3 linked regions of the Rattus norvegicus genome follow. The protein of the gene in region 1 interacts with the protein of each later gene in a pairwise test. Links are inferred from orthologs where the notes say so. Each region holds a gene or a part of one and is shown on either strand. Other genes may lie near its edges.

Region 1 (3,945 bases):
CTTGTAAAGACAGGAGATTCCCAAAATAACTTAGACTTAGCCACACTGGCAAGCTCTGGGTTTAAGAGACCCTGCATCACTGAATAAGGCAGAAGGTGACAAAAGATTATTCCTGACCTCAACATCACATCTGTATATGCATTCCATCCCCCATCTGCATACTAGCATCAGGTCAGCATATCTATTCCACCACCCCCCATTCGCACACCTAGTCAGCCACACAGACCTGTGCCTGTATATACATACACATGAACACAGAAGGAGTTTCATGGTGCCAAAGGTAAGAAATCCTGATCATAAGGTGCTCATTCTGTGCTTTATACATGCCCTTTCCAATGCCAATCTCCCAACAGGCCTGAGAGCAGGATTTTTTTTTTTTTTAAGATTTATTTATTGTATATAAGTCCACTGTAGCTGTCTTTGGACACACCAGAAGAGGGCATCAGATCTCATTACAGATGGCTGTGAACCACCATGTGGTTGCTGGGATTTGAACTCAGGACCTCTGGAAGAGCAGTCAGTGTTCTTAACCACTGAGCTATCTCTCCAGCCTAGGATTTTTATTCATACAAAAGGAAGCTAAGAATCAGGGAAGGCAAGTCTCCTGATGTAGGAAGAACACAGAAAAGGAGTCTGCTGCACTGTCCAGTGCTTACCTACTCTCCTAGACCGTAACTCCAACCCTCTAGAGACAACATAAAGATGGCACAAGCAAAGCTTACGGGACCCACACAGTCCTATAAATCATAAGCACTCCACCACCAGCCCACAAATGCTAAGTCTGCCTGAACCCAACCTCCAGGGGATGCTCTCCTACAGAGAGAAGACCATCTTCACCACTCAGGCCCAGGCCCAAAGGAAGACCTGCACAAAGCAAATCTTCAAGACCACCTATCAGTTCTAATACTTCCCAGCCTGTCTCTTTGCTGTGTGGGATGGAAAAGTAGACATATTATAGTAAACCTATTACAAGCATATTTTTAAATAAAAATTACACTAATAAAATAAACTCACCGGATTGGACTGTCCAGAAAGGTAGGGCTCAAAGTCATTGTCATGAACTGCATCCTTCTGATGCAAAGAACCATTTTGTACTAGAACAAAAAGTTGCAAGACATTATCTCCAAACTTTAAAAAAAATACTTTTAAGCATGGAAACCTTATTTTCATCAATTTCTGGTAGATATGATCTTCTTTCAAAATGGGTACACTCTCTATAGAGAGCTGATGCTTACATGACTAGTTAGAATGGCATTGAACAACTTTTCCTAAATTCCTTCTTTTAAGTAAAAATATAATCATAATTTGGTCAGATGTCATTTTGTTGCAATCAAAACAAAGGGCAAGAAACTTACAGCCAGACTTTGAGCCAGTCTCGTGATGGCTCCTCCCCCACCCGGAAGCGGGGGACTGAACCCAGGGCTTCCCCTAGGCCACGGGCTGATGCAGAAATCTACAGTGTCTCAGATCTACCTGTTCCAGGCAAACAGGACACACGCTTTAAAAGCCCAGTTACGCAGAGATCTGAGGGAAGGATGCTCGGTTGGAAAGGGCTGTAACCCAAGCTCACTATCATCTGATTCTCCACTTACTTTCCACTGTTACAGTGCACAGCCAGTAAAGGAAAGGAAAGGAATGGTAAATAAAGTGTTGGGCCTTTTCCAACCTTAAAACACGATGAACCATATTTGGTTACACCCAAGTAACAACAACACGCACTGGTTAAAAACAGTCTTTCAAAGATTTAGTGTCACTCTCGAGTTCTCACAAGAGTTTTGGAAGTTTATTACAAGCCAGAATTATCACAGGCGATAACAACAAACTTACAATGACTGTAACTAAGGGTGGAGGGCAGGGCCTCCCGGTCCACAGCTAGCTGGCTGACTCTCCTCCAGAGCCATCCACTACCTAGCAACAGAGGACCAGTCAGTCATTCAGCCCCGCTAACCTCTGCAAGGCCGTCTTATCACCACTTCTTTCCCCACCAGGTAACTGTTCTGGCAGAGTCATTAAGGAAATTGCAAAATATTATCTGAACTACTCCGGGTACGCCTTTATTTTTTTTTTTCTAGTTCCCCTCCAATCTGTCAAATACCCCGGAAATGGAAACTTTCATCTCCTCCAAGCTGACGGAGAAAACTAAGTTTCGGATCCCAGGCCGGCTTGGTGGACTTTCTCTTGTCCACACGGGCTGGCGCTGCCCCGTTCTCCTCCAAAGTCCGGAAGACTTCCCGGAACTCTCCTCACCTTTATTCTCTTGTCCTTTTGTTCTCTGCATCGCCGCAGGCCAGGATATGCGGGTGGACACCACCCAGCCCGGGAAAGGAAACACAAAGTTACTATGCGAAGAATGCTACCCGGAGGGCTTTGCGACCCCGGCCCGGCCTCCAGATCTCCCATAATTTGATCACAGCCAAGCCAAGCGACCCCGCCATCCGACCCCAGAACTCCAGCCCGGCCTGGTATGCAGATCTTCGGCCCTGAGATCCAAGCCCTGACCCGGCCTCCCTGTTCCAGCCCGGACCCCGCACCCTAACCCCAGCCCAGTCTCCAGGTCCCCAGCGCGACCCAGACCGCAACCTCTGTTTTGCCTTGTCCACGGTCTGGTCTCGTGACCGTGGTCCCGAGACGCCCCTACCTGGGGGTCCACGCTGGTGGCCGACATGCTTCATGAACAGCGCGGCGCGGGACCCCGGCGCCGCCGGCTCGGGCCTCCCGCGAGGCCGGGCCTGTCACGCCGCGCGCGGTCCCGTGCCCCGCCACCAACTCCACGGGCGCGGCCGGGCGCGGCGGCAGCTGTAGGCACGCAGGCCGGAACAGCGGGAAACAGCGGAAGGTAGCGGACAGGCTGAGGGGGCGCCGACTCCAATGGCGGCCGCGGCGGCTGGGACGAAGCTGCGCGACGTCAGCGCGCGGGGCAGGCCGGGAGCGCCGTCAAGTCGCCACTACCGCGCCTGCGCATCGTCGCTCCTTGCCCAGGATTTCGCGCTTGGGACTCAGTCTCGCGCTGGAGGGGCGGGACCAGACCGGATGGGGCGGGGCGATCAGGGAGTCACGTGCGGCTCCTGGGGCGGCGCCTATTGGGGAGAAGGTGGGAGTTTGTAGCTAAGCTACACCTGTCCCAGAGTTTTGTGGCTGCTGGGCTGACCTATCCAATCTGGGCCTGACCGGAGCGTGCCAGTGTGTGACCAATGTTCACGTTAGGTTCTGTACCCGATTCCATCACCCAGAGTAAAAAACAAGAGGACTTTGAGGAAAGCTAGGCGTCCCCCTTTGGGTTCCACGTGGGGAGAGCTCAGTTGGTCCCTCAGAGTCTCCAACAAAGAACTCACTCCATTAGTCATTCACTTTCAGGCAAGCTCTTTGCTCAGGGAACTCGCTACCCCCCCCCCCCACACACACACAAAATAAAACAAATCTTTTGAATATAAGCTTTAAAAGATTAATTTTATTTTATGTGTATGAGTGTTTTGCCTGCGTGTATGTCTATGCACCACATGTGTGCCTGGTGCTCAGGGAGGCCAGAGGAGGGTGCCCCAGAACTGGAGTTATAGATGGTTCGGACCCCAAAGTGGATGCTAAGAATTAACCTAGATCCTCTGAAAGAGCAGCAAATGCTCTAATGTCCTGAGCCATCTCTCTAGCCCTTTTAATTTAATACATACATTTATGTATGAGTGTTTTCCTTGCACGTATATATGTGCACTATGTATGTGCCTGGTGCGGGTGAAGTTCAGAAAAGGTGTCTGATTGCCTAGAACTGGAATAACAGGCAAATCGTGAGCCATCATATGACTGCAAGAACACTGCTAGGGACCAACACCCAGATGCATCCACACATCCATTCTGGGGAGAGTTTGGTCCCTGGATTTGTTGGAGTAAATGTCCTAGCTTCTGATACACATTGTCAGTAAGAGGACACCAGAGGGAGGCACCTGCAGGTGG
Region 2 (4,163 bases), about 150 Mb from region 1:
GCAAATGTCTTTATTGCACTAAGCTGTATCTGCAGCTCCCACATGCATTCCCCCCACTTTGATTTTACTGTGTAGCCCTGGCTGTCCTGGAACTCACAGAGCTTCACCTGCCTGTCTTTGAGTGCTGGGATTAAAGGTGTGCACCCCCACCTCCTGGCTCACCTGAAGTTCTTCAGGGCATTTCCTGGTACACACTGTGTTCGCACACTCCTGCAGCACCTGGCCAGTCTTCATGGTTTGTGCCCGAGCTGCCACCTGCGCCTCTGATGCGTCAGGAGACAAAGATGTGGCATCAGTGACTCTGTCTCAGCTGTCGTAATCGAGTGTTGCTTCTCGTGCTTCATAGTCTAAGGTCGTGGTGTGCGGATCTGTCCCAGACACCCATCTTATTGGGCTCCACATGCCTCCCAGGAACACTGATGTGTTCTCCTGGCCCAGGTAGCTTCAGGACAGAGTCACAGGATGGCAGATTCGCTGTGACAGCTGTCTCCTCCTTCTCCCTTTTCCTAGACATCCTGTGAGGCCATGAAGGACATGTGACTGTGATACTCGGTGGATACTCTTGCTTTTTATTCCATACTTTGCTTCGGGGTTAGGAAGTCATGGCCCTTGCACAGCCAAGTTCAGCATCTCTACTCAGGGCTGGTGTAGAGCGGGAAGAAGGTGGGGAAGGTTGGTCTCGGTCTTGGTTTCACTGAGCACAGAGCTCACCGATGGTAGACAGGCATTTAGTGTTGGAATGAGTGGATGGATGGATGAACGGGTGAGTTAAAGAGCAGACAAGGAGAGTGCTGGTAGGCATATTGGAAGGTAGAAGCTTCCAGTCTTTTTGAGGTTTTGTCTTCGTGGAGGGGAGGTGCTGGTACAGCTTCTCACAGCCACCCCGCTCTGTTGCATGGCTGCTGTTCTCCAGGTGCTGACTCTCCCTGGCCCATGCTGTCCTTGGTCCCAGGTCACTTGCTGGGGTGCGTTTCCCTTGATCTGTGGCTCCGGCGGGCTGTGCTCCTCCCTCAGGCTAACTTGCTGCCTTTGGTAAGAGCTGGAAGTCAGGAGTGTTGTTTCCTCTTAAAAGAGTTGTCCTGGATTTGGAGAGTGACGGAGTGTGTCAAAATCTATTCACAGTGTGGCACGGCAGCATTCTCCAGCTTGTCTCACCAGCATGGCTTGAGTGTGGGTGTGGTAGCCCAGGCTATCTGCAGAGCCGGCGGCCTGGAGCGAGCACCTGTGGGTAAACGCTGAGGGCTTTTGCCTCGGGAGAGTCCATGGCTGTCCTTTCACCTTCAGGATGTCCTCTCTTCCTGAGGGATTCGATCCTCTGTATTGTCCACTTGGTGACTGACCTCCTCTTTTCCATTTCAAAGGCAAATCGGGAGCGGTGCCGAGAAAAATTTCCTTACTAGATGACATTTCATCGCAATGTCCGATCGTTTGGGGCAAATAACCCAGGGCAAGGATGGGAAAAGCAAGTACTCGACTCTCAGCCTGTTTGACAAGTATAAAGGGAGGTCAGTAGGCGCAGTCAGATCCTCAGGTAAGGCCCGGCGAAGGCCCCTTGTATGCTCACCCGCTTCCTTCCCTTGTAAGATGGCCAGGCCCGGCCAGGCACATGTGTCCCTGAAGACTAGTCAGTGTGGGCAGGCAGCAGGGGTGACATAGCCTCACCCCTCTTACTTTCCTGGGTCTGACTTTTGGACCCTGGTGGAACAAGTTCATGTAGGATTTGTCGCCACCCACAAGGCCTTCCTAGGGGTTCTAGGGGCGCAGCCAGGACCATGTCATGGTGCAGGGGGTGGTCACTGTGGGCTGAGCTTCCTGGGCCTGACTCCTTCCTGGCAAGAGCTCCTCCAGCTCTTTCCTGCCAAGGTAGAGTGCAGATGCCCGCAGTCTTTTGTCTGTAGTCTGGGGGAGGAGCTGGCGGAGGCTGGAGCGACTACCATGCTTGTCTTAGCTTGGCTTTTGTTTTTCTCCTCAGCCCGCGCAGTGGTGTGTGTTTTGGCCTCTCTCCTCCCGTGAGGTGTGTGCTCTCTCCCATGTTCTTTTCCTTGCAGTTATTCCTAGACATGGCTTACAGAGTCTCGGGAAAGTTGCCACAGCCCGGCGTATGCCACCGCCTGCAAACCTGCCAAGCCTGAAGTCTGAAAACAAAGGAAACGACCCCAACATCGTGATAGTTCCCAAGGACGGGACAGGATGGGCCAACAAGCAGGACCAGCAAGACCCAAAGAGGTGAGCTAGCTGCAGGAGGAGGTTACTGGGGAGGACGTTGATGGTGGGGGGCTGGGCTGTCAGGGCGCCCTGCACCCTCTGCTCTGTGGGACGCAGGCGTGGCCGTGTAGAGGGAGCTCTGGGGGTAAGGAGTATGGACAGGTGTCTGTGACTCTGTGCTCTTTGCTGCTTGCCTTTGTTTGGCTGGGCCTTTGAGCTGCTCGGTAAGTAGCATTTCTTTGGATAACCATATCCCCAAGGGAATGTGTGCAGTGACTGAGACCTGTCCCCGGAGAACCACTAGGTTGGGGTAGGGCCCTGTGTGCTCCATGTTAGGAGAATGTAGCTTAGCAGCTACAGCCTTAGGAGACTGAAGTCCCGAGCCATGCGTCTCTAGAGAGACAGCAGGCACTTGGCCTGCACAAGCTCCTCAGATGGTGAGCCTTCTGTGCTCCCTGCGTCTCTGTGTGTGTCAGGGAGGAAGCCGAGTCTGGGGAGGAGCTCCAGAGGCAAAAGCCTCCCGTTGGAGCTTGCTACTGGGTCCTGGGCTATTTAAACAGTTTGCAGCCAGGGAGAGTGGAGCACGCCTTTAACCCTGGCTCTCAGGAGGCAGAGCCGGTCATATCGTTACAAGTTGGAGGCTAGCCTGGTCTGCATAGTGAATTCCAGGCTAGCCCGGGCTACATGGCGAGACACCATCTCAAACAGAAACAACAAAAAATACTGTTTGTGAGGGGTGCTGTAGATTGGGGGCGTAACACAACCGTCAGGGTCACTTGCCGTTTCCAGTCAGGTCATTTGTGATTTGCTGGGACTTCTGAACCTGGGGGGTCCCACCTTCAGGGAGAAATAGTCCCTAGCTCCAGGGGTGGCCACCAGGGCACTGTGGTGCACTCTGACGCCGAGGGTGCGCACGGGTCGGCTGTTACCACCGTCCGTTTGCATGGGGGTCGGCTGTTACCACCGTCCGTTTGCATGGCAGCCATGGTAAGATGTGCTACAGTTCAGTGGGGATGCTGGACTCCACTTCTAGGAGCTGCAGAGGGGAGAGCCGCAGAGGGCCACCCCTCTTGGTCTCCCAGCAGTGGCAGGGGCAGTGCAGACACCTGATGAAGGCCTCTTGCTGAGGAGGGAGTGAGGAGCACTTGAAGAGGCTCCCATTGCCCTGGCCTGGTCTCCTGTGGGGACTTGGGGATACAGAAGTGCCACTACCTGGAAGCCTCATTTTGCCATTTTTGTGATGGGTGAGTGGCTGGAGTTGGTTAGCAGTGTCCGCAGAGTTAGGCTATCAGCCGGGCCCCTGGCAATGGCTGCTTCTCACCGAGTGGGCTGTCAAGTACAAAGCTCTGCTGTGGAAGAGCGGAAGGCTCCACGTAGCCCTTCCTGTTGTCCTCTCAGACAGTGGGCACACGCTGCTGCAGCCTCTGTGGAGGTAGTTGGTGGTAGCTTGGTCTGACAGCTTCATCTCCGTGATGGTGTGACTGGGTTACTTACCCAGAATGCCCAGAGCCCTGTGCCCGTGTGGTCTAACATGTTTGTTGCAGTTCTGTCTGTAATGGGGAAGAAAGAGGAGCAGGAACTAATTAACTTATAGCTCCTCCAACGGCTGTTAGTCACCATTAAAGGAAGTTTATATATATGTATATATATATATATATATATGTATATATATATGTGTATATATATATATGTATATATATATGTATATATATATATATATAATGGACTGGAAGAAGAGATTGTGGAATTATATGTATGGGGCTATCTCGTGTTAAAAATATTATATGAACATATGTATATGGAAACGTGGGAATCAGAGTTTATCTATGTGGGATGAGATGGTCATGTCTGTTACTGATTTTTATACATTTATTTTTATTGAGTGCAGGCATATGCTGAGGCAGGATAGGAGTCTGTCAGTTGTCAAAGCATTTGCTCTGAGGAGGTGGAGAGGAGCC
Region 3 (4,150 bases), on another chromosome or scaffold:
CAGAAGAGGGCATCAGATCCTATTACAGATGGTTGTGAGCCACCATGTGGTTGCTGGGATTGGAACTCAGGACCTCTGGAAGAACAGTCAGTGCTCTTAACCACTGAGCCATCTCTCTAGCCCCTTGGGTTTTGTTTTAAATTTGGTTTTCATTTTTAGGGTGTTTTTAGATAAAGTTTCACTCTGTTATTCAGTCTAGTCTAGAACTCACTCTGTAGCCCAGACTGTGATTAAACTCAAAGGAACCCTCTTATCTTAGCTGCCAAGTGCTAGAATTACAGACAGGAGTCACCATACCTAGAAGAGTTTTGCTTTTAAAGTCTCTGGATCCTCTCTTGTCAACAAAGTTTCATATACCACAGTCTTCCCTGTCTTCATCTCAAAAAATATGAGATTCAAGGTATCAAATCATTTCATTTTATTGTGTTCTAGAACATTTCGCAGAGATCCAGAAGAAATGTGCTTCTCTTATAATATGGTAATGTTTCTTAAAATATTAGATTCAGGGCTGGAGAGGTAGCTCAGAGGTTAAGAGCACTGGCTGCTTTTCCAGAGGTCCTGCGTTCAATTCCCAGCAATCACACGGTGGCTCACAACTATCTGTAATGGGATCTGATGCCCTCTTCTTCTATGTCTGGAGACAGCCACATTTATAATAATAAATCTTAAAAAAATTGATTCAGTTTTGATTTTAAGATTTATAATAATAAATCTTAAAAAAATTTTGATTCAGTTTAATATAATTTATAGAGATGCATAAAATTGTAGTATGTCAAAATCTCTTTTGTGAGAAAACAGAACTTCTAGTACACTGCTTACGTGATGTCTCCAAGCCACTAATAATGAACAATACGCCTTAGAGGACCACAAAAGGAGCTAACTACATGCTTTACGGTGTGGCTGAGCAAAATGCATACCATGGCTCTATGAGCAGGGATAAGTCACCTTACCTTATAAAAGCAGTGAGGGGCTCAGATTTTGCAGGCTTTCGAACTGGAGCTGAATTCTCTCCTTGCTATTCCTCATCACGAGGCTGGGCCTCCTGGAAAATAACAAGGCAAGTTCACTGGAGTGGTGACCTTCACTCAGATGCAAAACTATACCAAGCATAGAAATCAATGTACTAACTTTAACAGGCTTTCACACAGTGGACTCACTCAAGAGTCCCTGACCTGTTCTAGACATACCAAATGTGAATTGTGCCATAGAGCATCCTTAAGGAAATGTTAAGGACATTTTCCCCGAGCCCAGAGCAAAGCCCCTTCCTTCACTTTTCTAATCCCATAGTGGTTAAAATACCTATCTATCGAAAATGACACTTCCACTCTGGGAAATTTACAATCTCAAAAATCCCAGAAACCTTTTCACAGTTTACAAAGACTTGACCTCATATAATCCCTGAAGCTGCCCTATGGAGAGTATCCTCTCCCCAAGAAACAAACTGAAGCACAAACATAATTTACCCAGGATCCCAAAGCATCAGGACAAAATGGAATTCTGACTCCCATGTTTTTACATGTTTATATTACACTACTTTCCTTACATATCAACCTGTATTCTACATGTAACATGTTCATTCCTTGAAAGAATGAGTGGGGTCCAAAAGCTGATAAAACTTTTGGACTATAGCTTCATAAATTAAAATACTGAAAAGTTAAGATCTTTGGGTGTCAGGTGGGGTACTACATAGATATAAACCTTGGCAAAGAATTTATAAATGTACAAGCAAAAAGCGTTATCATAAATCTAAATAATAACATATAAAATCAGGAAACAGTCCCCCGGTTTGGAAATGTCAGACTCTAAGATTTAAGTATAAATTATAAATGTAGTCAAAAGTTGCATGGCACATGGCAGTGAGGTCAATGCCTTCCAAGAAACCGTTACAAGGAAAATCATCAGAAAATGTGTAATTTTACTCTGGCCAGTAGGATGCACCCAAAAACAAGTTGAGACCTTGCAACTGGACTGCTGCAGTCTACCTGCTACCGTGCATGGCAAGCACCCATGAACTGGAGGTTGTAAGGTGAACAGTCTCTGCATTGGAAAGCCGCAATTAAAACACCAAACTTGCTTACACAAGGACTATCTAGAAAGCCCATAGATGCAGTACTCTTGGCTTGAGGGTTCTCGGGACCCCTGGGATTCCACTTCACTGCAAACAAAGGACCCACCATGCATTAGGTCTTCCCCTGCAAAATGGGACAAGTCACTAGCAAACAAAGAACACCTCACCCCTTAGACTCCCCCACTGACAAGGTCGGTGCAAAAGGAGGCAAACCAGAAGAGTAAAAAATGCACCAGGCCTCCCTTCGGAGGAACGGTCCTGACCGCACAGTGGGAGGAGGGGCAGACAAAGGTCTCGGGCACTCGAGAGACTTCCTCCGGGCCCAGCCAGGGGAAAACCGAGCATCCCCTGAGGCGAAGGCGTCGTCGAGCCAATGAAGCCGCCTCTCTCTGCCTCCGCGGAGCCCCTAGCAGCGAGGCCCGCCCCGGCGGACCGGTCTGGCCCCCGCCCCGCCCCGGCTCCATGGCAACGGCAGGCCGAGGCCTGACTGCCCACGGCTCGGCCCGGCCGGCTTCCCGGGCAGGCCTAGGATGCCCGGCCTGCTCCTCAGGCTCGCCAGCTCCTCCTTCCCACTCTCCGCCAGGTCGCCAGCCGGACTCGGGACCCCTCCTCGCGCCGACCACCCCCGACCGTGGCAGGCTGCTTCAAGGGGCGCGAAAGGGTAGAATAAAAAGCCCAATTCACCTGTTGTTACAGATGTGAAACAAGCCTCGGTGCACGGCGCATGAGCCGCGGGCCCCCCCAACTACGGCCGGACTACAACTCCCACCAGCGACGGCGCGGTCCCTTCCGGGTTCCGAGGCGGAAGTCCCACCTGCGGCCCCGGCGCTGCTCGGCCTTCGCCTTTCGCCTAGCCACCTGTGCGGGATGTCGCTTCTTAGGGGCTCGCGAGGTGTTCTGTGGCCTAGGTTGTCTCTAATGTTCCTGAGCTCACAGCGCGAGGCGCTCAGTCTGAGCCTGTGCCCGGGCACTGGCCGGAGGGCGCGCGGCTGTAGCCTCAGACGCAGGCGGGACTTCCGGCGGAGCGGCCAGGGACGCGCGTGGCCTGTGCCGTGGGAGCCGGCGGGAGCTAGGGAGGGGGATGGCCGTCTCTGGTTCTTCTCGCCATCCCCAACCTCAGCTCTGTGTTGCGCCTTTTTTCTCCTGCGCCTCCCCTTGATCTTCTGCACTTTTAGGGAGGTGAGCCATTTTTCCTCACAGAGACATAAACCAGGCAAAGGACAGGGTAGCGCTTGCTGCTAGCTTAGGGGGTGTGTGGTGAGTGACAACCACGAGTCTAGGTCACATCGCCTCTCAGGAGCGAGGAAAGGGAAGGCTTCCCTATCTATGCTCTGAGCAGAATGAAGTATGGGTTCAATGGACTCATCCTTTGGTAGAGGAAACTCAGTGGCGTTGGTCAGTAGTTCACTGCTGGGAAGAGAATATTTGAGGATGCCTTTCATGATAATTGGAGAACTAATACTATAGCTCGTAATTTAAAACAAAGAAAATATCATGCGTATGCGTGTGGGAATGTACCAGCTGACATGTCATGAGATCTTGGAAGCTGGAGATACGGTCTGATGTGGGCCCCGCCGTTATCTTAGGTTTTCTTTTGCTGAGGTAAAAATACCATGACCAAAAGCCACTTGGGGATGAAGGTTTACTTGATCTTATAGGTGACAATCAGCCACTGAATAATGTCAGACCAGGAATTTAAGCAAAAACCATGGAGGAACCATTGCTTACTTCCTTAGGTCTCATGGCTTGTGCAAGCTGATACACAACCCAGAATTTCCTGTCTCCCCAGGGGAGACACCCCCCCTTCACAAAAAAACAGAAACACTCACCCTGTCTACATCAGTCGTTCAAGAGAATGCCCAAAAGCCAATTTGGTGGGGGCAGTTTCTCAATTGTGGTTCGATACCCAAACAACTCTAGCTTTTGTCAAATCAACCAAAAAACAAAACAGTAACAAACTACTGATTCAGCAAGTGTTGGTGACCGTTGAACCATAACTCCAGCCCCTTTTCATATGCTGTTTTTTTGTGCAGCCATTTAAATGTGCCACAGCACAGGTGACTTCAACTATTCCAGAAGCTG

Evidence for each region.
Region 2: the proteins of Ythdf1 (region 1) and Prrc2b interact in a two-hybrid assay, tested with the Homo sapiens proteins (2 studies listed by BioGRID, with this or other methods). The link is inferred for Rattus norvegicus from reciprocal best matches to the Homo sapiens genes YTHDF1 and PRRC2B.
Region 3: the proteins of Ythdf1 (region 1) and Dhx30 interact in a two-hybrid assay, tested with the Homo sapiens proteins (2 studies listed by BioGRID, with this or other methods). The link is inferred for Rattus norvegicus from reciprocal best matches to the Homo sapiens genes YTHDF1 and DHX30.

What each region holds. Positions count from the first base shown.
Region 1 is NC_086021.1:188,414,932-188,418,876, forward strand, and holds the start of Ythdf1 (YTH domain-containing family protein 1), read right to left. Parts: upstream 2,810-3,945; 5' UTR 2,666-2,809; coding exon 2,639-2,665; intron 2,273-2,638; coding exon 2,248-2,272; intron 1,095-2,247; coding exon 1,015-1,094; intron 1-1,014.
Region 2 is NC_086021.1:35,861,690-35,865,852, forward strand, and holds the start of Prrc2b (protein PRRC2B), read left to right. Parts: upstream 1-1,361; 5' UTR 1,362-1,416; coding exon 1,417-1,531; intron 1,532-2,048; coding exon 2,049-2,226; intron 2,227-4,163.
Region 3 is NC_086026.1:118,972,462-118,976,611, forward strand, and holds the start of Dhx30 (ATP-dependent RNA helicase DHX30), read right to left. Parts: upstream 2,803-4,150; 5' UTR 2,753-2,802; intron 2,668-2,752; exon of another isoform or gene 2,236-2,667; intron 2,197-2,235; exon of another isoform or gene 2,079-2,196; intron 1,043-2,078; 5' UTR 951-1,042; intron 1-950.